Linked DNA regions of Cricetulus griseus. The protein of the gene in region 5 purifies or fractionates together with the protein of the main gene of each other region. This does not show direct contact. Links are inferred from orthologs where the notes say so. Each region holds a gene or a part of one and is shown on either strand. Other genes may lie near its edges.

The links. Proteins that work in one complex are often made in the same cells at the same time.
Region 1: the proteins of Ddx23 (region 5) and Sart1 purify together in Homo sapiens (affinity purification with mass spectrometry; 3 studies listed by BioGRID and IntAct, counting the BioPlex papers as one, with this or other methods). This does not show direct contact. The link is inferred for Cricetulus griseus from reciprocal best matches to the Homo sapiens genes DDX23 and SART1.
Region 2: the proteins of Ddx23 (region 5) and pre-mRNA-processing factor 6 purify together in Homo sapiens (affinity purification with mass spectrometry; 3 studies listed by BioGRID and IntAct, counting the BioPlex papers as one, with this or other methods). This does not show direct contact. The link is inferred for Cricetulus griseus from reciprocal best matches to the Homo sapiens genes DDX23 and PRPF6.
Region 3: the proteins of Ddx23 (region 5) and Snrnp40 purify together in Homo sapiens (affinity purification with mass spectrometry; 3 studies listed by BioGRID and IntAct, counting the BioPlex papers as one, with this or other methods). This does not show direct contact. The link is inferred for Cricetulus griseus from reciprocal best matches to the Homo sapiens genes DDX23 and SNRNP40.
Region 4: the proteins of Ddx23 (region 5) and Tssc4 purify together in Homo sapiens (affinity purification with mass spectrometry; 3 studies listed by BioGRID and IntAct, with this or other methods). This does not show direct contact. The link is inferred for Cricetulus griseus from reciprocal best matches to the Homo sapiens genes DDX23 and TSSC4.

The regions. Positions count from the first base shown.
Region 1 is NC_048596.1:53,945,846-53,949,863, reverse strand, and holds the start of Sart1 (U4/U6.U5 tri-snRNP-associated protein 1), read right to left. Parts: upstream 2,801-4,018; 5' UTR 2,725-2,800; coding exon 2,412-2,724; intron 270-2,411; coding exon 212-269; intron 1-211. UniProt on the Homo sapiens protein: Plays a role in mRNA splicing as a component of the U4/U6-U5 tri-snRNP, one of the building blocks of the spliceosome. May also bind to DNA.
Region 2 is NC_048599.1:310,495-314,763, reverse strand, and holds the start of pre-mRNA-processing factor 6, read left to right. Parts: upstream 1-1,469; 5' UTR 1,470-1,593; coding exon 1,594-1,664; intron 1,665-4,269. UniProt on the Homo sapiens protein: Involved in pre-mRNA splicing as component of the U4/U6-U5 tri-snRNP complex, one of the building blocks of the spliceosome.
Region 3 is NC_048595.1:22,689,899-22,694,148, forward strand, and holds the start of Snrnp40 (U5 small nuclear ribonucleoprotein 40 kDa protein), read right to left. Parts: upstream 2,801-4,250; 5' UTR 2,746-2,800; coding exon 2,602-2,745; intron 1-2,601. UniProt on the Homo sapiens protein: Required for pre-mRNA splicing as component of the activated spliceosome. Component of the U5 small nuclear ribonucleoprotein (snRNP) complex and the U4/U6-U5 tri-snRNP complex, building blocks of the spliceosome.
Region 4 is NC_048596.1:58,316,386-58,320,083, forward strand, and holds Tssc4 (protein TSSC4), read right to left. Parts: upstream 2,275-3,698; 5' UTR 2,130-2,274; exon of another isoform or gene 2,001-2,129; intron 1,848-2,000; 5' UTR 1,723-1,847; intron 1,634-1,722; 5' UTR 1,624-1,633; coding exon 670-1,623; 3' UTR 501-669; downstream 1-500. UniProt on the Homo sapiens protein: Protein associated with the U5 snRNP, during its maturation and its post-splicing recycling and which is required for spliceosomal tri-snRNP complex assembly in the nucleus.
Region 5 is NC_048595.1:395,146,137-395,150,090, forward strand, and holds the start of Ddx23 (probable ATP-dependent RNA helicase DDX23), read right to left. Parts: upstream 2,801-3,954; 5' UTR 2,648-2,800; intron 1-2,647. UniProt on the Homo sapiens protein: Involved in pre-mRNA splicing and its phosphorylated form (by SRPK2) is required for spliceosomal B complex formation.

The DNA of each region.
Region 1 (4,018 bases), on a different chromosome or scaffold from region 5:
CAGGCTTCCAGAACAGGCTTCCTGACTGGGGAAGACTATCCTTCCTCTTGGGTCTCAGTTTCTTCCACGTAGCTCCTATGGTTGGCAGTATGACTCATCTGGCCATTCCAATTCTAACTGGCTTCATTTAGATTGAAAAAGTTTCTATAGGTAACAGCCCCAGGTGCAACCAGTCTCAGAGGAAAATCAAAACAGCATAAGGGCTACTCACTTGGTCTCCTCGATGCTAAGTGACGAGGCATCTCCAGAGCTAGTTTTGGAGCTGGCAGCTAGAACAATAAGGAGCACGGCTTAAGGAACCCATGAACATGGGACCAAGAAGCAACATCATGGTCTTCAGTTGCAAGGTCGAAGACAAGGGCCCCCACCAGCACCTGGGTAGATGACACCAGAAAACAGCAGCCTTCTTCCCCCAGGGTTCCCTGCAGCTGCTACCCAGGCCCTTATCTTTTTTCTGCATCCCTCACTGTGCCACTCCAAATCTCCACACTCTACCTTCAGCCTCCACAGTCCCTTCTGCTCTTGTTCTCATAAAGTTCTATCAAAAGAGCAAGTATCATCTCCTCCATGAAGCCCTGCTCAATTACTGACCAGAATTAAAACTCTGCCTAGAACGGCACAGCACTGCTTGTCATTTCTGGCACTTTCTGCCCACAGCAGTGTATGGAATACTTACTAGTGTGTGTTCCATGCCAGATGCTATGGACATAGGAAAGGAAGCACTCTGGACCTGATCTATCCACCCCACAAACAGGAGAGAACTTCAATAAACACTATACAGAGGAAGATGCCACCAGGATGCCCAAGTCCCCTGTCACACACTACTCACTGCTCTTTAAACCCTTCCTCCTCCACCTAGGCTCTGGACCCCATTTTCTATATGAACTCTCAAGTCTCAAGTCTCCCTTTTTCCAATTAGCAGATTATTAAAAAAAAAAAAAAAGTTTCAATTTAGGGGCTGGGGAGATGTCTCAGTGGATAAGAGCACTTGCTGTTCTTACAGAGGACCCAGGTTTGGTTCCCATAATCTATATGGCATCTCACAACCACCTAACTCATTTTCAGGGGATCCAATGTCCTCCTCTGAACCTCCACAGGCACTAGGAATGCACCAAGTGCATATTCACATATGGAGGTAAAACACTCAAATGCATAAAATGAAAACAACCCTTTGTTTACAAGTTCTGGTTCTGCATAATGCCCTGTGGTGTGTGATGCTCTTAACCACTCTGTCTTTTCAACAATCATCTCTTTGTACAGATCCTATGACCCAACTGTAGTGTTCTTGCCATTTGGCTACTCTTTATTTTTTAAGTATGTTTCTCTGCCCACAATTGAGCTATTGGCATTTACTAAGTTCTATTTCTGATCCTAGTTCTCACTCCACACACTCTAGGGCACTTTGGATTCCTGAATACACACTAGCCTCAAATCACTCTATCCCACTTAAACTGTAGGTTTTCCCATACACACTGACCAAAGCTCTCCCAAACTGGGTCATTCTCCCTTGCCTCAAATCTGCTAGTCTTCTAAACACCAACTTCAACAGATGAAAACCATTCACCAGGCGGGTAAGGTCAAAACTCCAGGAGGCATTCCCTGTTCCTCATCCCTCCCATCCCCTTAGCCCACGCACTAAATTTTGTTCATTGCACTTCCTAAACACCTATTCAATCTTTCCAGTCTCTCCACCCTACTGCATGGAGAAACATGCATACTCACTGTTAGTCCTCACCTGGTTGGGTTGACCTCCCTCCTAATCTCAGGGTCTGTAGTCCTATTTTTGACAAGCTCTCAACCCAGAGATCCTTTTTTTTTTTTTTTTTTTTTTTTGTTTTTCGAGACAGGGTTTCTCTGTGTAGCTTTGGAGCCTATCCTGGCAGTCACTCTGGAGACCAGGCTGGCCTCGAACTCACAGAGATCTGCCTGCCTCTGCCTCCCGAGTGCTGGCATTAAAGGCGTGCGCCACCAATGCCCAGCTCAATCCAGTGTGATCTTAACATATGAAGTAAATCAACCCACTTCCCTACTCAAATCCTCGACTCCCTACCGTCTTCATCACAAAGCCCAAATTTCTCAACAGAGCTTACAGCACAGGGTCCTTGGTGTTCAGACCCAAGCGTATCTTACTGCTTCATGACGATTCCACCTACTGTCAGGTTTCTCTTGCCTCTGTCTGTGCATGCTCGCACCTCCTCCTTTCGCCCACCCACCGCATTTACTGTCAAGTGCCAGACGGGAAGGGGAAACGCAAGACCCCGGTCCTTCCGAAGCTTAACATGGGGAGTCAGTCTTTAGTCCCCAACAGCCGGAGCAAGTCTTCAGCCCGAGAGGCACAGGCCCTGGCGGTCACCCTGCACCCTCCGTCCCGCGCACCCCAGGCCCCTGCCCCGCCCCCGCCCCGCCCTCACCGGCCTCGTAGCCGTCATCGCGTTTCTCTCGCTTCACGCGCCGCTCCGAGGGCTCCGCTTGACTTCGTTCGCGACCGTGCGCGCCGCCGCGGGCCTCGGCTTCGGCCCCGCGCCTCCCGCTCCCGCGCTCGCCCCCACGCTCGCGGCTCCGCTTCCGTCGTTCGCCGCCGCTGCTGCCGCCGCCGCTGCTGCGATGTTTGTGTTTCTTGTGCTCTCGATGCCGCGGCGGCTGCTCGGTGGCGCCCCCGGTACCGGCCGCCGCCGTCGTCCCCGCCGCCTCCTTCTCCCCGCGGTGCTTCTTTGACGACCCCATGACTAGTGCGTCCGTCTGGAGCCGGGCCGCCACCCGAGCCCAGACGACGCAAAATGGGAATACTTCCGGGTCGTGCGGCCGCCGCTGCGCTGTTGCCGGAAACTAAGAGCGGCTGCTTCCGGGGCCGGCCTGGGAACCTCCAGAGGCTCATGGGAGGGACGGGTTGAGACTGCGCATTCCCGGCTCCCGGGGACTGGCTCTGCGCATGTGCACCTGTAGAGGCTACGGGGTCGGCATTGGCTCTCCCGGGTTAGAACTGTAACAGCTTTGGAATCGTGCTAAAAGCCACCGTCTGCGGAGCTGGGAGCTCTTTCCCTGACCTTTCCACTCCGAGAGCCTCGTGGCGCTCTGTGCCTCAAGCCTCTTCGTGGGCGTCCCCTCCTCCAGTGATTGTCCTTCTCGTAGGCTCCCCGGGGCCGGGGATCCGTCCGGGGTTGGAAGATACCGCATGTTTTCTTCTTGAAGAAACCAGCTGCAAAGCCCCAGACTTGCAACCCCAATAAACCACTGTTGCCAGCGAATGCTACCGTCGCCCACTTTCCCTGGATTGGTAGATTGGGTCTTTTTAACCTGAGCTCTGGACTGCTACGGAACACTATGAATTTGTGCCTGTGAACCCCGTGAAATTGAGTGCTGTTTTTGTTTCTAATTTTCTTTTTAAGATAGGGTCTATATAGGTCTGGTTGGCCTAGTGCTTGTTACGTAGCCCTGGCAGGTCTCGAACCCTCTGGTTCAGCCTCCCGTGTGCTGCGAGTGGCCGGGATTTCAGGCATGCTCGCCCAAGCCAGGCTCAAGTGCAAATTGGGCAGATCCGTTTTTCTTTTGCCTGCCTGCCTTCCTTCCTCCCTTCCTTCTTCCCTCCCTCCCTCCCCCCCCCTCTCTCTTTCCTTCCTCTGTCCCGTTAACTATGTGGCCTCAGTCCGGGATTACAGGCACAAGCCACAATGCCTTGCTTTCCCAGCCTTTTCTCTCTTCCTGGGCTTTTTTATTTGGTTGATTGCTTGTTTGGTTTGGTTGTTTTGTTTTGGTCTTGAGGAGATGAGCTTTAAAGTTAAGGATTCACACACTCCCTTCTGCTACTAGTTGCTCCTCTGTGGGTTTCCTGTGTAGCACACCTCGGCGTGTTTTGGTATGGTTTTCCTGCTCCTTTACGGCTCTGCTCTACTACTGAGTCTTCAGAGGTGGACCTGTTCACTAGCATTTCTAGGTGTCCCACTCAGTAGCAGAGACAGCATGTGTTTGCCGAGGAAGGGGTGCAGCCAGGGTTCCCAGAATATGTGGGAAGTAGCTAAGT
Region 2 (4,269 bases), on a different chromosome or scaffold from region 5:
GTAGTAGTGGGGGCCCTAATCACACCTGTGACCTTTTACTTACGCTGTCCAGCTAAAGGCTAGATCAATCTCTCCCAAATACCCGTGTATCCTAACTTATTCATCCCCTTTTAAATTTCATGAATGTTTTGCCCGAATGTATATGTCTGTGCACCACGCATGTACCTGGTGCGGAAATCGGATCCCCCAGCCCTGGGGTTTATGGTCTGTGAGCTGTCATGTGGGTGAACCCGTGTCCTCTGCAAAAATATGAAAACTTCTTTTAATCACCAAGCTATATCTTCATCCCCACTTGCTCGTTCTTTACTGGAGCATTCTCTTTTCTCAGACCATTTTCCAGAGACGCTAGCTGACATTTGCCTGCGGGTCACTTTGAACTCCAGGCAGTACTATGCCTCTCTGTTGAACTCCTGAATCAGACTCTGTTCCTAAGGGTTCAGTGTTCATAGACTCAATCAATCCTGTTCCTCCCTAAAAGCTTGTTTGAGGAGCCAAGAATGGTTGTTTGCTTCAGTACTCCACTGAAAAGCACTGGACGTAGAAGTCTGGTTGCCTGGTCCAGCATAGCAATTTGCAGTTTTTCCTGTCTGCCCTAGAGTCTGATGCTCTCCCCAGGTTGAGACTGCTTTATTGAAACAGAGGGGCCCTGATCTTTCCACTGGATGAAAGGGGAGCACATGTAGAGGGATTTGGACACACACATACATATATACTTAATAGCTACCGGGAAGGTACAGCTATTTTTGTGATTTAACCGGAGGCAGGGTTGTTTTCCCTAGTATATTGTTTCTGCAGGTAGAGCCCATCATCCCTGTGGCTAAGCAATCCTTTATACCTTTGGGCTATTGCCCAGTACAGCCTGACTCATGACCTGAATCTATTTATTACCCAACAGGTGGGATTGGCATTGTCTTGCGTAGAGCTGCACACAGGCAGAAAATATCTGTGTAGAGTTACTGTGGTGCGCGTCCACTAAAGCCCCTGGGCACACAATCACTCCCAAGCATGTAACTCCGGCCCATGCACTTATTCTCTGAAGGCCCACGGGGGTGGGACGGAGCAGGAGGGGGGGGTGTCGCAGTTCTGAACGCTGAGCGCACAGAGCAGTAGTTGCGGAGTGCACGCAGTATCGACGGGCGGTGGCCACACAGTACAGCTAGGCAAGTCTTGGTCATGTAGGCTGAATCCGTCTTCCTAAGGCTAGGCAGATTCGAGGCCATGCCAGCACCGGGACGCTCCTCAACAAGCCTACTGGGCTCAGGCTGTGCATCGTCCCTGGCACAGCAACAGAACGCATGACCCTTACATCTGCCTGCGCGGCCCGCTGCGTTAATGGTTAGTGGCTTCCGCGCACGCGTGCTCAGCTTCCCACAGCAAACCCACCCAGCAGCCCCGACCGGAAACGCTTTGCAAACTCACATCTTTGACTTCCGTCAGAGGCTCTGTGTGGGCGGAGTTTTGCGCGACCTCACTCTCTACTTCCGGGGCGCCGGCGACGCAGTAGCCGCCTCTCTTCCAGCTGCGACACCGCGAGTATTCTTCGGCCGCCTACCTGCTCCTCTATCTTTCTCTGCCTCGGCCAAAAACACCGCCATGAACAAGAAGAAGAAGCCGTTCCTGGGCATGCCCGCGCCGCTTGGCTATGTACCCGGGCTGGGCCGGGGGTAAGGCAGTGGGCGGAACTTATACCAGGAAGGGTGGCTAGTGCTCTGGAACACTACTTGCTCCAGGCCTAGTTGAGAATGATACTTGTGACCACTAAGTAGAGAGAGACCTCATCTCAAAACAAACCAACAAAACAAAACAAAAAACAAAAAACAAGTGCCTGAGGGTCTGAGTGTGGTGGTGAAGGTCTCTAATCCCAGCATTGAGGCGGGGCGCGGTGGGGGTGGTTGGGGGGGAGACAAGCCTGATCGGCGTAGCGAATTCCAAGACATCCAGGTTTACTTAAAGAAATCTTGTCTCAAAAACAAGAATAACGTTCACCGCCATATATTCTGAGAGGCACTAGGTAATTTGACACAATGCTTGACAGACATGGTGGCCTTTTTTGTTAGAATAAGCCCGACTGCCACCCTGAGATGTGAATCTGACCTCAGGGATTACGCAGGCGTGTGAGCCTCATTGTTTTGGTGTCTGAAGTAATATGCACAAGCAAGTCGGCTGTAAGGAGCAGTTGAGTCTGATGTGTATAGTAGGAGTGTGCTACTCCTTTATTCCCTTAAGCATCTTTTCCCTCTAGGGTGTGTGGCCATAGGTCACCTTTGGACAGCAATGGCCTATGCCTGCCAACCATAAGGTGTTGGGTAAATGAATAGTATTTTTCCTACTTATTTATGCATTAGATGAGACATAAGTCTCTCCTGTTAATAGTATTTAGAATTGACTTGAATTCACTAGAATTCAAGGTTTGGTGTTTGTGTATATAAGCACACACAGGAGAACAGAAGTTTTAAGAGTGTAGCATTTTAGTCAGATTTACAAAGAGGATTTGAAGTGTCAGATTGGGAAAAGCAAAGAAAAGTGGAATTTATGCCAGGTAGTTCCAGCACTAGGGATCCAGAAGCCAACTTGGTCTACAGATCAAGTTTTAAGACAGAAACTGTCTCAAAAAGCGAACAAAAAGAGGAATTTGGTGTAGACACATAAAAAGGCAAGTAGTGGGCTGTTGAGGTGACTCAGTAGGTAAGGCTCTGTCAAGCCTGAGTTTGATCCCCAGAATCCACGTGATAGAAGGGGAGAATAGATTATTGTCTTCTGACCTCTATACATGTACCAGGTCACACACACTAAATAAATAAAAAAACAGGCAGTTTTAAAAGGCAGCTGGAGGTGTAGCCAACTGTACCATGCCCAGGCCTGGGTTTGATTCCAGCACCTTGCCCAACCTCTTTAAAAAAGACAATGGGAATAGAGAGATGGCTCAGCAGTTAGGAGCACTGACTGTTTTTGTGGAGAACTTGAGTTTCGTAAACGGAGGTGGAGCTTTCATGTCCCGGCTGCACAGTTCCAAATAATCACACAGAAAGTTTTATTAATTACAACTATAATTATATAGTTGTATAATGATATAATTTGACCTATATATAGTTCAGGCTTATTACTAACTAGCGCTTACATTTAAATTAACATGTTTCTATTACTCTGTGTTGCCATGTAGCCCTGTCTTCTTTCTTTCTTTCTTTCTTTCTTTCTTTCTTTCTTTCTTTCTTTCTTTCTGTTTTGTTTTTTGTTTTTCCGAGATAGGGTTTCTCTGTGGCTTTGGAGCCTGTCCTTGAACTATCTCTTATAGACCAGGCTGGTCTCGAACTCACAGAGATCCACCTGCCTCTGCCTCCCGAGTGCTGGGACTAAAGGCATGCACCACCAACACCCGGCTATTTCTTTATTTTTTATTAATTTATTTTTTACATTCCAACCCCAGTTCCCCCTCCTTTTCTCTTCCCACTACCCCACTACCCTACTACCCCTCCCCCCCCACCTCTCATCTGCTCCTCAGAGAGGGTAAGGCCTCCCCTAGGAAGTATACTAAGTCTGTCTCATCTCCTTGAGGCAGGCACCTCTCTACCCCCACACCCCTGTGCCTAGGCTGGGCAAGATATCTCTCCATATAGAATGGGTAGCTGCTGGAGATGGCTCAATATTTAGGAGCACTGGCTGCTCTTCCCAGAGGACTTGGGTTCGATTCCCAGTACCCACGAGAGATAATATTTAAGCCGGGCGGTGGTGGTCCATGCCTTTAATCCCAGGACTCTGGAGGCAGAGGCAGGTGGATCTCTGTGAGTTTGAGACCAGCCTGGTCTACAAAAGCAAGTTCCAGGACAGCCTCCAAAGCCACAGAGAAATCCTGTCTTGAAAAACCGAAAAAAAGAAAAAAAAGGAAAAAAAAAAAAAAAAAGAATAGGTAGCCCTGGCTTTTACTGGTTTGCTGTTGTTTCTTGGGCAGCTGGCTCATGTCTCCCTGGACTCTGCCCCTCCTCTGTTTGATTGTTCTACCTAACCCTATTCTGCCAGGCTAGTGGTCAGCTTTTATTATTAACCAATGGGAACAATATATATTTACAGTGTATAGAAGCATTCTATAGTATATCTCCCTATCTGGCTAATCAAAAAGGAAGGTTTTAACTTTAACTTAGTAAAATTGCATATAAAAGAAAAAGTTCAGTCCCAGTGAGGCCAGAAAAGAAAGGAATCCAGAATGGTGGGATTTGCTGCAAAAAGAATGGAGCTGCCAGGGAGCCTCTGGTAGTGGATTAGTATTTTTCCCTG
Region 3 (4,250 bases), about 370 Mb from region 5:
ATGGCACCTCTGCTCACAGAACTCCTGCCTTTCACTGGATAAACCTTTGGACATTCCAGCATATGCTCACCATACCACTCTCCTCCCCAACTCTGCTTTTGTTCCACAGCCAACTTCTGACTGCTTAATCATGCTGACTTCACTTATACCTCAGGATCTTAACAAGGAAAAATGTCTCCCACAGAGCTCTCCTGCTATTGGGCTCCTTTTAAATATTTCCTCCCCAGAGTCTTTCTTTAACAGTCAAACTTAAGTAGCAGCCATCTCCCCACCAGTATTCCATTAGGTTTAGTGCTGCCTCAAGTTTCCTTCCTCATGTCATTGCTGACATGCTTCTTTTTCCCCAAATAAATGAAGCTCTGGGAGTGCAGGAACAACATTTCTCAGACTAGTTCACCCACCTAGCCTTTGAAAAACCCTGCATAGTACAACTTACTATGCAAAATAGATTTTAGGGGTATGAGCAGCGCTTTGATAAGTAGCTCAGGCTGGTCTTAAATTTTCAGTCCTCCTGAGTGCTGGTAATAATACAAGTGTGAATTGCTATGCTTGGTTTGGCAAAGCAGTTTCTGATTAGGGTCTTGGACGCTAAGCCTGTTTGGCAAGTCTTCCAACCCTGGGCTGACAGTGTTACTTGGCAAATAAGTGTACTACCAAAAATAGTCCTGAAATCTCTTTGGTAGGTTCCAGTGTACTAACTTATATTTATTATCATGTATTAACTATGAAAAGTAATGTAAATAATGTACCATGAGCATATTTATCTAGTGTAATTATTGAAAATAACACATGTGTACCACAGAGATGGCCCAGTAGTTAGAGAGCACTTACTGCTCTTCCAGAGGTCCCGAATTCAGTTCCCAGTACCACACTAGGCAGCTTTCAAGTGCCTGTAGCCCTAGGTTCAGAGGATTCAACAATCTCTTCTGGCCTATGAGGGTACTCACACATACATACAGACATACGGATAAAAATAAACCTAATATATCTAGGCACTGGGGAAACAGCACTCAATAAAACAATGAACTGTGCATTCTGGTGGAAAGTGAGTGAGAGAATGGGAAAGGAAACAAAACAAAAAACAAGCAGAACACCTAGTGTTGCATGCAATGGAAAAAAATATGAGTACCAGAGTACAGGGTACTTTAACTTAAAATACAGTGGCCAGGAGAGCCCACTGAAAACAGGCATCTGAACCAAGATTTGAAAGAACCAGTAGTTAAACATGTGGGCATTTGGAGTAATATTCCAGCATATGCAACAACAGCAACAGAATTAACAGCACACAGGCTGGTGTTATTTGAGAAGGATGACATGCTAGAAAACGGGTACATGAGCATAGAAAAGGGGTTATTACACAGAATTTGATTTTTCTTTAATTTGGAATGAAATAGCCAACACAATATTTTCAGCAGAGAATCATGTGATTTAATGTTGTGGTGATTCTCCTGGCTACCAGACTAATAATTGATCCTTGATTCAAAGGCAAAACCAGAAATACTAATTAAGCCCCACCTGCAATGATGCCAGATGACATAAAAGTTTGACTAGGAGGTAAGGATTTCAGGTAAACAGTTCTCTTCCGTTCAACAAAAGAGTTTTGCTATAATAGCCTACACTGGCTTGGAACCCTTGACCCTCCTGTTCAGCAGCTTGAGTGTAAATTTGTGTGTGTCCAGCTTTTTATTTACTTATTTTTGAGTCAGCGACCTTGCTGTGTTAAAAAGTAAGTTAGTACACCGGAATCTACCAAAGACATTTCAGGATTACTGGTGGTACACTTATTCTTACTTGACAAGTAGGATTGTCAACCCAGAGTTGCAGGCTTGGCCTCCAACTCCTTCCCTCAAAATTTTCTTGTCAGCCTTCTGAAAAGATGCAACTACAGCCCTACACCCCTTGCCAATTTTATTTACTTATTTTAATGACCACACCAGCAGAATTGAGAGTTGGGACAGGAGGCACATTTATTTCCGTATCTGAAACTAATATCATAGTAGTGAGGGCATGATCACTATTTTACAAGAAATGCCATTAGGAGCTTAGCTTCTAACTCAAAGAAGTTTGCTTTCCCTATATGCAAAATAACAGCTCCTTTCGGGCTGTTACCAAGATTAATGGAAATTTCTCATGCAAAACAGCTAACACTCGAGCCAACGGATATTAATTACTGTTAATAATGCAAAATCAGAAAAAGAGAAAAGTAAATTGTACCAGATGGCAGAGAGAGCCTGTATCATTCATTTCCCTTGCTTCCCTTCCCATTCATTCATTCATTCATTCATTCATTCGTCCACTCTACAAACTTTTCTGAATGTTTATTTTATGCTGAATCCCTGAAGATTTAGGATGCGGAACTTTGGATCCTGATTTTTGAGGCCAAGGTTTTAAATGATTCACTGCTACTTCACAGGGCGATTCAAAGGCTGGAAACAGGCGTCCGACAGGGACACATGTATGAAACAGACGCAGAACACACGGCACGTATGTAAACAGAGGCCTGCTTTCACTTCAGCTTCTCTGTCTTTCCGTTCCCGCAGCGCCGGGAAGGTCTATTGGGAGAGGAGCGGAGGGCCGAAGAAGGGATGCCTCCCCACTTACCGCCTGCAGCAAAGCTCCCGGAGTCGCCTGCGGCTGTCCGGCTCCGGGGCCGGCCCCCGCGGCTCCCAACAGCAACTCATGTCGCGGCCGCTTGACAGGAACCAGTGGCAGCTCCGGGCCCTTGCGTTTTGGCTGCTCGATCATGGCGGTAGCCACTCTCTTCGGCGCCGCCACTGACCGCGCCGCCGGCCGCAGCCGCCGCGCAATTGGCTCCAACTGAGTTCTTCCTCCAGAACTTCCGGAGAGGAGCAACCAATCGGCTCCCAACATTCTCTTCTGCAACGCCCTCTGAATGCGCTCTTGCGATTGGTCCGTTCTTGATGACGCCACGAGGGCTCAGCTCTGGGATTGGGGCGTGTAGTGACGTCCCCCCTAGGCGCGCTGTGCATTGTGGGTTGGGAACGAGCGGAGCAGGTTAGGCGTTCTTGGCGATGAAGAGGCTGCCAGGCTAGGAGCTGGCGCGGAGTAAGTGTGCGGGGAACGAGGACGGTAGCTGTTCTAATCTGCGACTAGGTGATGGGCCCGAGCCTAGCATTCTCGGCTGACGGTCCTGCCGTGGGGGTAGGGGAGCGTTCTGGAAAGAGTAGTCCCTTGGCAGGCTAGAGCGGAGCTTTGGGATCTCTGACCGCAGGACTGGAACCCTAAGGCCGCTGTCCCTTGACAGCTAGCTGCTCTGCACAACGCCGCTTTTGCTTCCAGCGCTGTACTAGCGTGATGCCCGACTCCCGGCCTCCCGGCTTCAGTGCCGGGTTTGGCTGAGGAGGCGGACTTAGTTTATACCATTGGTTCAACCGTCTTTTTTTAAGGGCTTAATTTATGCCCCCAGACAGACAGTGATGGAGGAAGTATCCGATGGTTCCTCCAAAGCATAATTTTGTTGAGAAATCTAAGGTCCATGCTTGTGTACCAGGCCTTCTCATAAGCGATCCAAGTGGCGTTTATCGTGCAGAGCGTTGGAGGACACTGAAGAAACATGTTCTCTAACTTCAGGGCTTTAGTGTCTCTTGGGGTGTGTGTGGGAAACATTTTAAACTAATCTCACCAGTTGATTGGAAGACTAGCGAAGAGAGCGATGCCTCATGCTGTGAGTAACTAATGAGCTTGAAGGATTTTCAGAGGAAAAGATGCCTGAGCTGTTGCCGTTTGATCGGACAGTTCTAATTCGGGGAAGAGAGGAAGAAGGCAGAACGTTCTTCACAGAACAGCGTGTGCAGTAGTGCCCTATCATTTGGGAAGATGACTAAGAGGCACGAAGAGCCAGTATGCTGAGAGAGCACTTGAAGGGGGTTATGGTACGAGATAACCTGGGGGTCATGAAGATTTGCAGGAATTTGTAGCTTTAACTTTACAATTAATAGGAAACCAATGAAAATTTTGTCTCCCCTCCAGGGCGTGGGATGTGGAGGAGGAGAAGGCTTGCTCCTTCAGGCTTAATGGTGTTATGAGATTGGAGAGAGGAGGGGAGGTTTATTGGAGGCAAATGGACCACTTTGGGAGCATGCACTGTAGTTCTGATCAGCAATGTCAGTGAGAACCTAGCTGAAGGTGGAGCTGAAGACAGTTTTACAGTATCTTGGGGATAGCTGGGAAGTAAATTAGATAGGATTTGGTAATGGACTGGATGAATGAGAGGATTACGGTCATTTTGA
Region 4 (3,698 bases), on a different chromosome or scaffold from region 5:
ACGGCATGAAGTACTCACTCATGTGTCTTCCCTGCATCCTTCTCTTCCTCCTGGGCTAAGCTTCAGCTAAATGACCTAGCATCAGCCTATTAGCATCAGCAGTGTCCTACACAGAGGTCACAAATCCTGGAGACATACACCCAGGACACCAGCTCTATCTTTAGTTTGGGTGGACACCTGCCCAAACTCCTTCGCTGGCTCAAACTACCCTCTTCCTAAAACTGGTCTGCACAGGCCTAGTGTGGAGGCTGTGCTGGTTTCTGGGGGACAGATTATGTTCGTCCATTACCATCAGGGGTACAAGGCTGGACATGGTTATGAACCCAGTCCCTCTGGGTAGGTTCACTGGTAGCAAATGCAAGGGATCATGGCAAATCTTTACAGCAGTCCCCACTGGAGTGGGGAGAGCAAGATAAGCCAGGTGTAGGATGGAGTCCTGAAGTTAGTTGCCAAGGACTGTTTGGACACATCTTGAATAGGGAGCAGAAAAATCCACAAAATTTAAGAAATATCCCAAACCTTTATTTTTCACCCCAAGAAACGGGGGCATAAGGTCCCACAATTCCCACAGTCCTAGTCAGAGTTGCTTCCCAGACACCCCTTCTACAAATAGCCCACAGCTTCCCACCTGGACTGGGCAGGTGAGGAGGTGGAGAGATAGCACTGCAGTCAAACTGAGGGTCCCCTCTCAGACCCTGGCCCCTCCGGGTTACTGTCCCTGTTCCGGAAGTGTTCTCTGCTCCGCTTCTTGCTGCCATGGAAACCAACAGCCTCCATCCCTGTGGGATCTGATGAGGACCCAGGATGGTCAGCTCCTGAAGGTATCACTGCCTCTTGCAGTCCCTGGTGGCCACTCCACTCCTCAAGCTCAGGCCCTGCCAGATGGGCCAGCTCCACAGATGCCTCACTCACAGCATTTGACACATCCCCCTTCTTTAGGACCCTCTTCCTTTCAGCCCTAGTCTCACTGCCTCGAATTGGTTTGGTAAAGACCACTCTCCCCTCCCCACAGCTAGAGGGGTCCTGGTTGAAGGAAGGTACATAGTCTGTGGGGGATGCCAGGCTGCGAGAACCCAGAAAGGCCAGGGCAGCAGCACGATTGCTCTGCTCACTGACTTCAGTCGCATCTTCCAGGCTGTACTTGGTCCAACGCTCAGGATGTGACACATAATCGGGCACAGGAGGTACCCTGGTTGGGCCCGTACTCCCATGCACCCTGCTCAGGTTCCCTGCTGGAGTCTGACTTGGGGGAGCCACAGGTCGCTTGAAGTTGCCATTTTCAGTCACACTGGTTTGGGGCGCAGAGGGCGGTGCCTGCCGGACTGCACTCTCCAGACAATCAAAGATGCTGTGACTGCGCTGGGAGAAGGTGGAGCTCATGCCGCGGAGGTGGAACGGCTGAACTGCGGTGGTGGGGACGCCCGTGGGGGGCGAGGGAGGCTCATCAGGGCCGGAGTCTTCTTGGGCTTCCCCAGAAATCCTCTCCGGGGACAACACTTGCACCTCAGCACCACTAGGTAAGCTGAGGTCCGAGTCCGAGTCGCTGAGGGAGACGGTGTCAGAAGGCAGGGTGTCATCTTCGGTGGGTTCCTCGGCCTCCAAGCCAGTCTCCGCCTCCGCCATGGAACCCGACCTGTAGCGAAGCAGCCCAGGTTCTGCTGTGAGGGGTGTACTTGGGCAGCTCCCCCCCACCCCCGTTCTCCCAGGCTCCCCCACTTTCACCTCCACTATGTGCCAGGCGCCTCTGCTCGCAATCGGGCGCTGGCTGGTCACGCAGGCGGGCGGAGGCCTCGCGAAGCTGGGTGGCGAATAGTGTGTCCTCGCACGCACTGATGTGGAGCTGCAGTCTAGATAGGGTTAAGCAGAGAGTCAAACCATGAGATCAGAACAGTGCGGACATATAAAGGGTGCGCGCTAGGAGACGCTGGAGACAGAGGCTCTCGACCATCAGCTCGTCTCATCACCGGCTCTCACAGAGCGCAGCCTCTCCGGGTACACACCGCCACCGGAGGCACCACCCGGCTCCGGAGGGAGAGCTGGCAGGGGACTGGCCTGGTCGCACGGTCCTAAGGAGGCCAGCGCTCACCGCTCCACCGTCCCTTCACGCTACAACAGCCAGCTGCCTTTACCGTAGCGTCCCGCCGGTTTCTCGAGGTACGGGCCGTGGCCCCCGCCTACTCTCGCTCGGCTTTCTGGGAAACCGAGTCTCCGGCTGTCTGAATGCTGCAACTTTAGCGGCCAAGGAACTACAACTCCCAGAAGGCAATGGGCCAATGCGTAATGCCTGCCGGGAGGTGTAACCTTTACGTATACGTCATCCCGTAAGACTGGAGCGGACACGGAAATCTACCCGGAAATGACGAAAGAGGAAGAGGCGGAGCCAAGAGCCTCGATTCCCATTGTACATAGGGCCAACTGCTAATCGCAAAGGGTTGAGGCCTCCAGCGCCGCCTGTCGGAAGCCGTCTGAGCAGGGTTCGTCACTGGAAGGAAGTGCGTCACCACGCAGTGCGGGCGTCAACAAGTTTCCTGGTCAGAAGTGGTGCTGATCTGATCTTGTACTCGGTTGGCTTCCTAAAGGGGGCGGGGACTTAAGTCCTAGTTGGCTCTTGGCATCTAGAGACGTGGTGGGCTCTGGATGTTGGATAAGTTGTTTGGGGCTGCAGAGATTCGAGGCCTCTCCTCTAGGCTCTGCCTAGCCGTGCTTGGACACCGACCCCACTATTTAAGGCCACACACAACTCCCCTCTAGGCCCGGGGCTGTCCTCTTTCATCTCTGGGAACCAGAGTCTGAGAATCCACTGGGCTGCTGCACGCTCACTTCCTTCCCTATGTTCTTGAAGCCCTGATAGCCATGCTGCAGTTTTCTCAACAGCCTTGGCCAGGGGCCCACAACATAAGAGTATAAAGTCCTTCAGACCAGCAGCCAACCCAAGCAGGGAACAGGTTGCAAGGGGCGGGAGGGGGGCGGCGGACGGACGATAGTAGAGATTAGGACGCCCTAGGACAAACTTGGGGTTCACTGACAAATCAGCTTACAGGGAGGTTGCTAGGAGCTGAGACCTAAATCTTAGCCACGCTTTCTCTCCTCTAGAGGCCAATTAAATATGCCAGTAGCCTGGGGGAGGGGTGCAGACAGGAGTCAAAGGGAAAGGCAGTAGTGGTGATAGTTGCTGGTGTCCCAAGAGGTTGCTTAGCCTAATCCTCAGTTCATAGGGCTGAGCTGAGTGGGCTGCCATCTTGACTATTATCCCTTGAGACAGGCCAGAGCCACCCAGCTCTTTAGAACATTTCTAAGCACCTAGATACTTGGGATGGGGCAGTAGTCTAACTTTTACTGTATTGTCTTTCAAAAGTGGGATGAAGTGGGAGTTTTTTGTAGCTTATCCCCAGCATTCTGTGTCGAATTTTCCTGCTGCGTGACCTCTCCTACCCGTCTCAGTGTGACTTGGCATGTCCAACAGATGAGTGGAAATGAGGTCAAGGCTGGAATAAGGTCAGCCTGAACTCCCAGTACAGGGAGGTAGAAACGAGGGAGTACTCAGATGGAGTGCTCCCAGGGTCCCTATCCTTCCCACCCATTTTATTCCACAGCCTCTCTTGGACCTGCTCACCCTGTGCCTGGCAAAGTCCAGAGCGGTACCCGTCTCTGACACCACTGGAACAGGAAGAGGTCTGACAGTCCGGTTAGCATGCCTG
Region 5 (3,954 bases):
AGATTTTTAAAATTACCATTCCCCAAATAATGCAAAACAACAATTTACAAAGCCATTTGTCATTTATAATTAATCTAGAAAATCTTTTAAAGTATGCAGGGGGATTATGTAGTGTATATGCAAATATTGTGACATTTTATGGAAGATACGTGAGCATATGCTGACTTTGTTATTCACCTAGGGTCCTAGAACCAATTCTCCTCAGATAATCACAAGGGGCAACTATATCTAAGCAGGAGATGACAGTGGCTTGTTCTAGGGATGCAAAAAGAGACAGGCATACTTTGGCAGTAGAGCTAACAAGACTTACTGATAAAGGGAAAAACTACAGAGGAGACACAAAGACAGCTCCTGGGGCTGGGGAGATAGCTCAGCAGGTAGGAGTGTTTTCTGTACATGCTAAATTCCCAGTGCCCATGTTAAAGCTAGACATGGTTAAATATACCTGTAACTCCAGGGCTATAAGGAAGGTGGAAGCAGGAGGCCATCCCAAGTTCAAGGGGAGACCTGTCCCGGGGGAATGAGATGATGGAGCAGGACACCCAGTGTCCTCCTCTGTCCCTCCCACAACACATATACTATGTATTCACCACTCATACACACACATACACAATTTACAAAAACAAAACTTCTTTTGCATTCTCTATTTGATGATAAAATAAACATGTTACTGTCAAAGTTTGGGGAAGGGATGAGATAGCGGAAAACAGTTCCTAAATGTACATACAGTTTGAGGAAACTACTGGTTTTTGTTACCATCAGTGAAGCAACCAGAGAAGACTAGGGAAGGAACAGAACAAAAGTGCCATTTTTGCCAGCTTGTGGGATATTAAGAAAGCAACCAAAGAGAAATCTGGAACTCTAAAGAGACACGGGAAGACAAAAATATGAGTACAGAGACAGCTGTTAAGTCATTGTGTCTTAAACATCACCTAAGCAGGCAGAAGAGGAGATCCACAGTGCAGCTCTAGCACACTAACACTGAAGGGTGCCTAGAAGAGACAAAAGAAAAGACTAGAAAAAAACAGCAGCAGGGATGGGGGTAGGGGTGTAAACTATAACAATGCAGAAGCAAAACACATTTCAAAGAGAGAATAGTCAACACAGAACCATTGAAGATTTGGGAGGGGAGGAGATGACTAGTGGCCTTCACAAAAGCTGTTTGAATGGCAGGAAAGGGGAAGAATACAAACTTGGATGGAGTGGGTCTGGAAGAGAACTGAAACTGACAATAAAAGCAAAATAAACTGTTAGGGTCCAGGGCAAAAGCACCTGAATTTCAACTTAATCTCACTGAGAACATTAAAAGAGCTTTTTTCCCCCCCCCCCATTAAAAGAGCTCTAAGTGCCGGGTGTTGGTGGCGCTCGCCTTTAATCCCAGCACTCGGGAGGCAGAGGCAGAGGCAGGCAGATCTCTGTGAGTTCGAGGCCAGCCTAGTCTTCAGAGCGAGTGCCAGGATAGGCTCCAAAGCTACACAGAGAAACCCTGTCCCGAGAGAGAAAAAAAAAAATTCCTGTGGTGACTTACAAGAAAGTGTGTGTGTGTGTGTGTGTGTGTGTGTGTGTGTGTGTGTGTGTGTGTGTGTGTGTGGTTTTTCCAGACAGGGTTTCTCTGTGCAGCGCTGGCTGTCCTGGAACTCATTCTATAGACCAGACTGGCCTCAGAGAGATCCACCTGCCTCTACCTCCCTGCTGGAATTAAACGTGTGCACCATCACCACCTGCCTGAAAACATTGCTTTTATTCTCTGTCTATTGATATCTAACTACAATATATATATATACATATATATGTATATAAATATATAAACTAGGAGAAATGCTAAGTAGTCTACGACTGAAATCTTAGCATTAGGAAGGTGAAGGTAGGACTAAGTTCAAAGTCAGGACAGACTAAGCTGCATACTGAGTTCAAGGCCAGCTTGACCTACAAGAGACCCTGTCTGCAAAACCAAAAATGCAAATATAGGCAATGATTATAGAAGACCCTGGCTGTGCTTCCCAGTTCTGCTGTAGGGCAAAGGCGAATTATTTTCATTTAACTGTTGCTACTATATGTAAGACTCGGTCCTAGGCCCTGTGGTAGTTACAAAATGAAATTCTGCCCACAGGAAGCAGAAGGCATGAGACACGCCAAGGTAAAGACTAATCAGATAAGTATTGCGAGAATCCAAAGTAGCAGTTTCTTTCCATTCGTAAGAGAGGATATGGAAGGATCCACGGAAGAAGTGTATCCTGAGCATTTGAAGATGAGGGTGAGGGTTAGAACTAATTTCCGGCAAAAGCAGTAATACTGGCGACGCCGTAGCGGGAAAGCACAGACTGGTTTCTGGAAGTACATCAGAGGTCCAGTCTGGTTGAAGTAAAGGATCAGGAATAAAGTCAGACTGAGGTATAGCAAGCGCGATGTCCATGGGCCAAAATCTTGGCTCATAACATCGTCCTGGAGGTGGCCTGTGCCCCAGACAGCCAACACTGCTCCTGGGGCCCGCGCCCCTTCGCTCCTGACCGCCAGAGCTTCCCGGGCTCGTGCCCCTTCCCTGAGGCGTTCTTCCCCGTCTGGACCAAGAAGCGGAAGCCAGGGCTATCTCCCCGCTCTCGCCCACTTTCCAAACTCATAGGAATCACCTCCGCCGCCCAACACTCACCACCCCGCGTCTGAACCGCCTAACGCGGCCTCAACGTCGCCGAGCAGTCGCCATCTTTCGCGTTTCCTGATCGCGGAGGAGCACCCTGGCCGCGCGGGTAGCCGGGAAGGCGAGTTCCTGGGCCCGCACCGCGCGAGCTGACGAACGGGCTCCAAAAACTACCAATCCCAGAATGCACGCGAGAGGGCCCCGAGCCACAAGGTCTTCTGGGTAGTGTGGTCCGCGAAGGTTCGGTTTCTGTGGGAGAAAGAATTTTCCAAGTGTTGTCTTCCCAGCCTGCAAGGTTCTCTTGTGGCTCAGGCTCTCTGGAATCTTCTAGTAGACACTGGAGTTAATCGCAGTCATAGCTGGCAGCGAGGGAATTTTTGCGGCAACAAGTAATTTACTGTTTTTTAAAAAATGTTTTTATAAAAATCGCGAGAGAGATTATTGCCTCCCTTTTACAGCTGGATGAACTAAAAGTTAGTTAACTGGAGCAGCCTATGAAGGTAGTACAGTTTTCATGGTAGAACTACCCCAATCGTAGGAAGGTATTTTAACAATCTTGAGCCCCAGCCCCAGTAGGGTGAATTCCTTAATGCTCCAAGCCCCCCCCCCCAATAAATAATAAACCGACATTCCAAAGACTTCCCAGGAAGGACTTTCTCCTAAACTCTTACTGCTGACTCAACATCCCAGATGGGACCCACGAAAATTATTTTCTTCAGGATCATTTGGGCTGTTTGGGCCACTTGTTATTGTTGGTTTCTTCCTTCAGGTTCTCCCTCCATCGGTCCACTGAATTTTTCTTCTAATCACATACCCACTTTCTTCCTTTTTGGTTCAAACTGCACCATCAGCACCCGCCAAAACAAAATGAAAGTTGTACCTGCTAAGATGGCTGAGAGAAACTGGGGTACCCAGCACTTCCTTAAACAACATTTCCCCATCAACTTTGCTTTAATCCCACAGAGTTGTTGGCCTGGTTTGCCTTTTTATTTGTTTATTTTATTTTTATTTAATGTGCATTGGTGTTTTGCCTGCATGAATGTCTGTGTGAGGGTGTCAGATCCCCTGGAACTGGAGTTACAAACAGTTGTAAGCTGCCATGTGGGTGCAGGGAATTGAACCTGGATCCTCTGGAAGAGAACCCAGTGGTCCTATGGCTGAGTCATTTATTTCTCCAGCCTCCAGTCTCTTTTTTTTTTTTTCACTCTATATATTCTTTCTGTTCTCAAACAGGGTCTCTGAATATATCCCAATCCAAAATCTCAGCTTCACAGACAGTGCTCTGTGTAGTTTAGGAGACTTTAGGAGAGCTCTAGTAA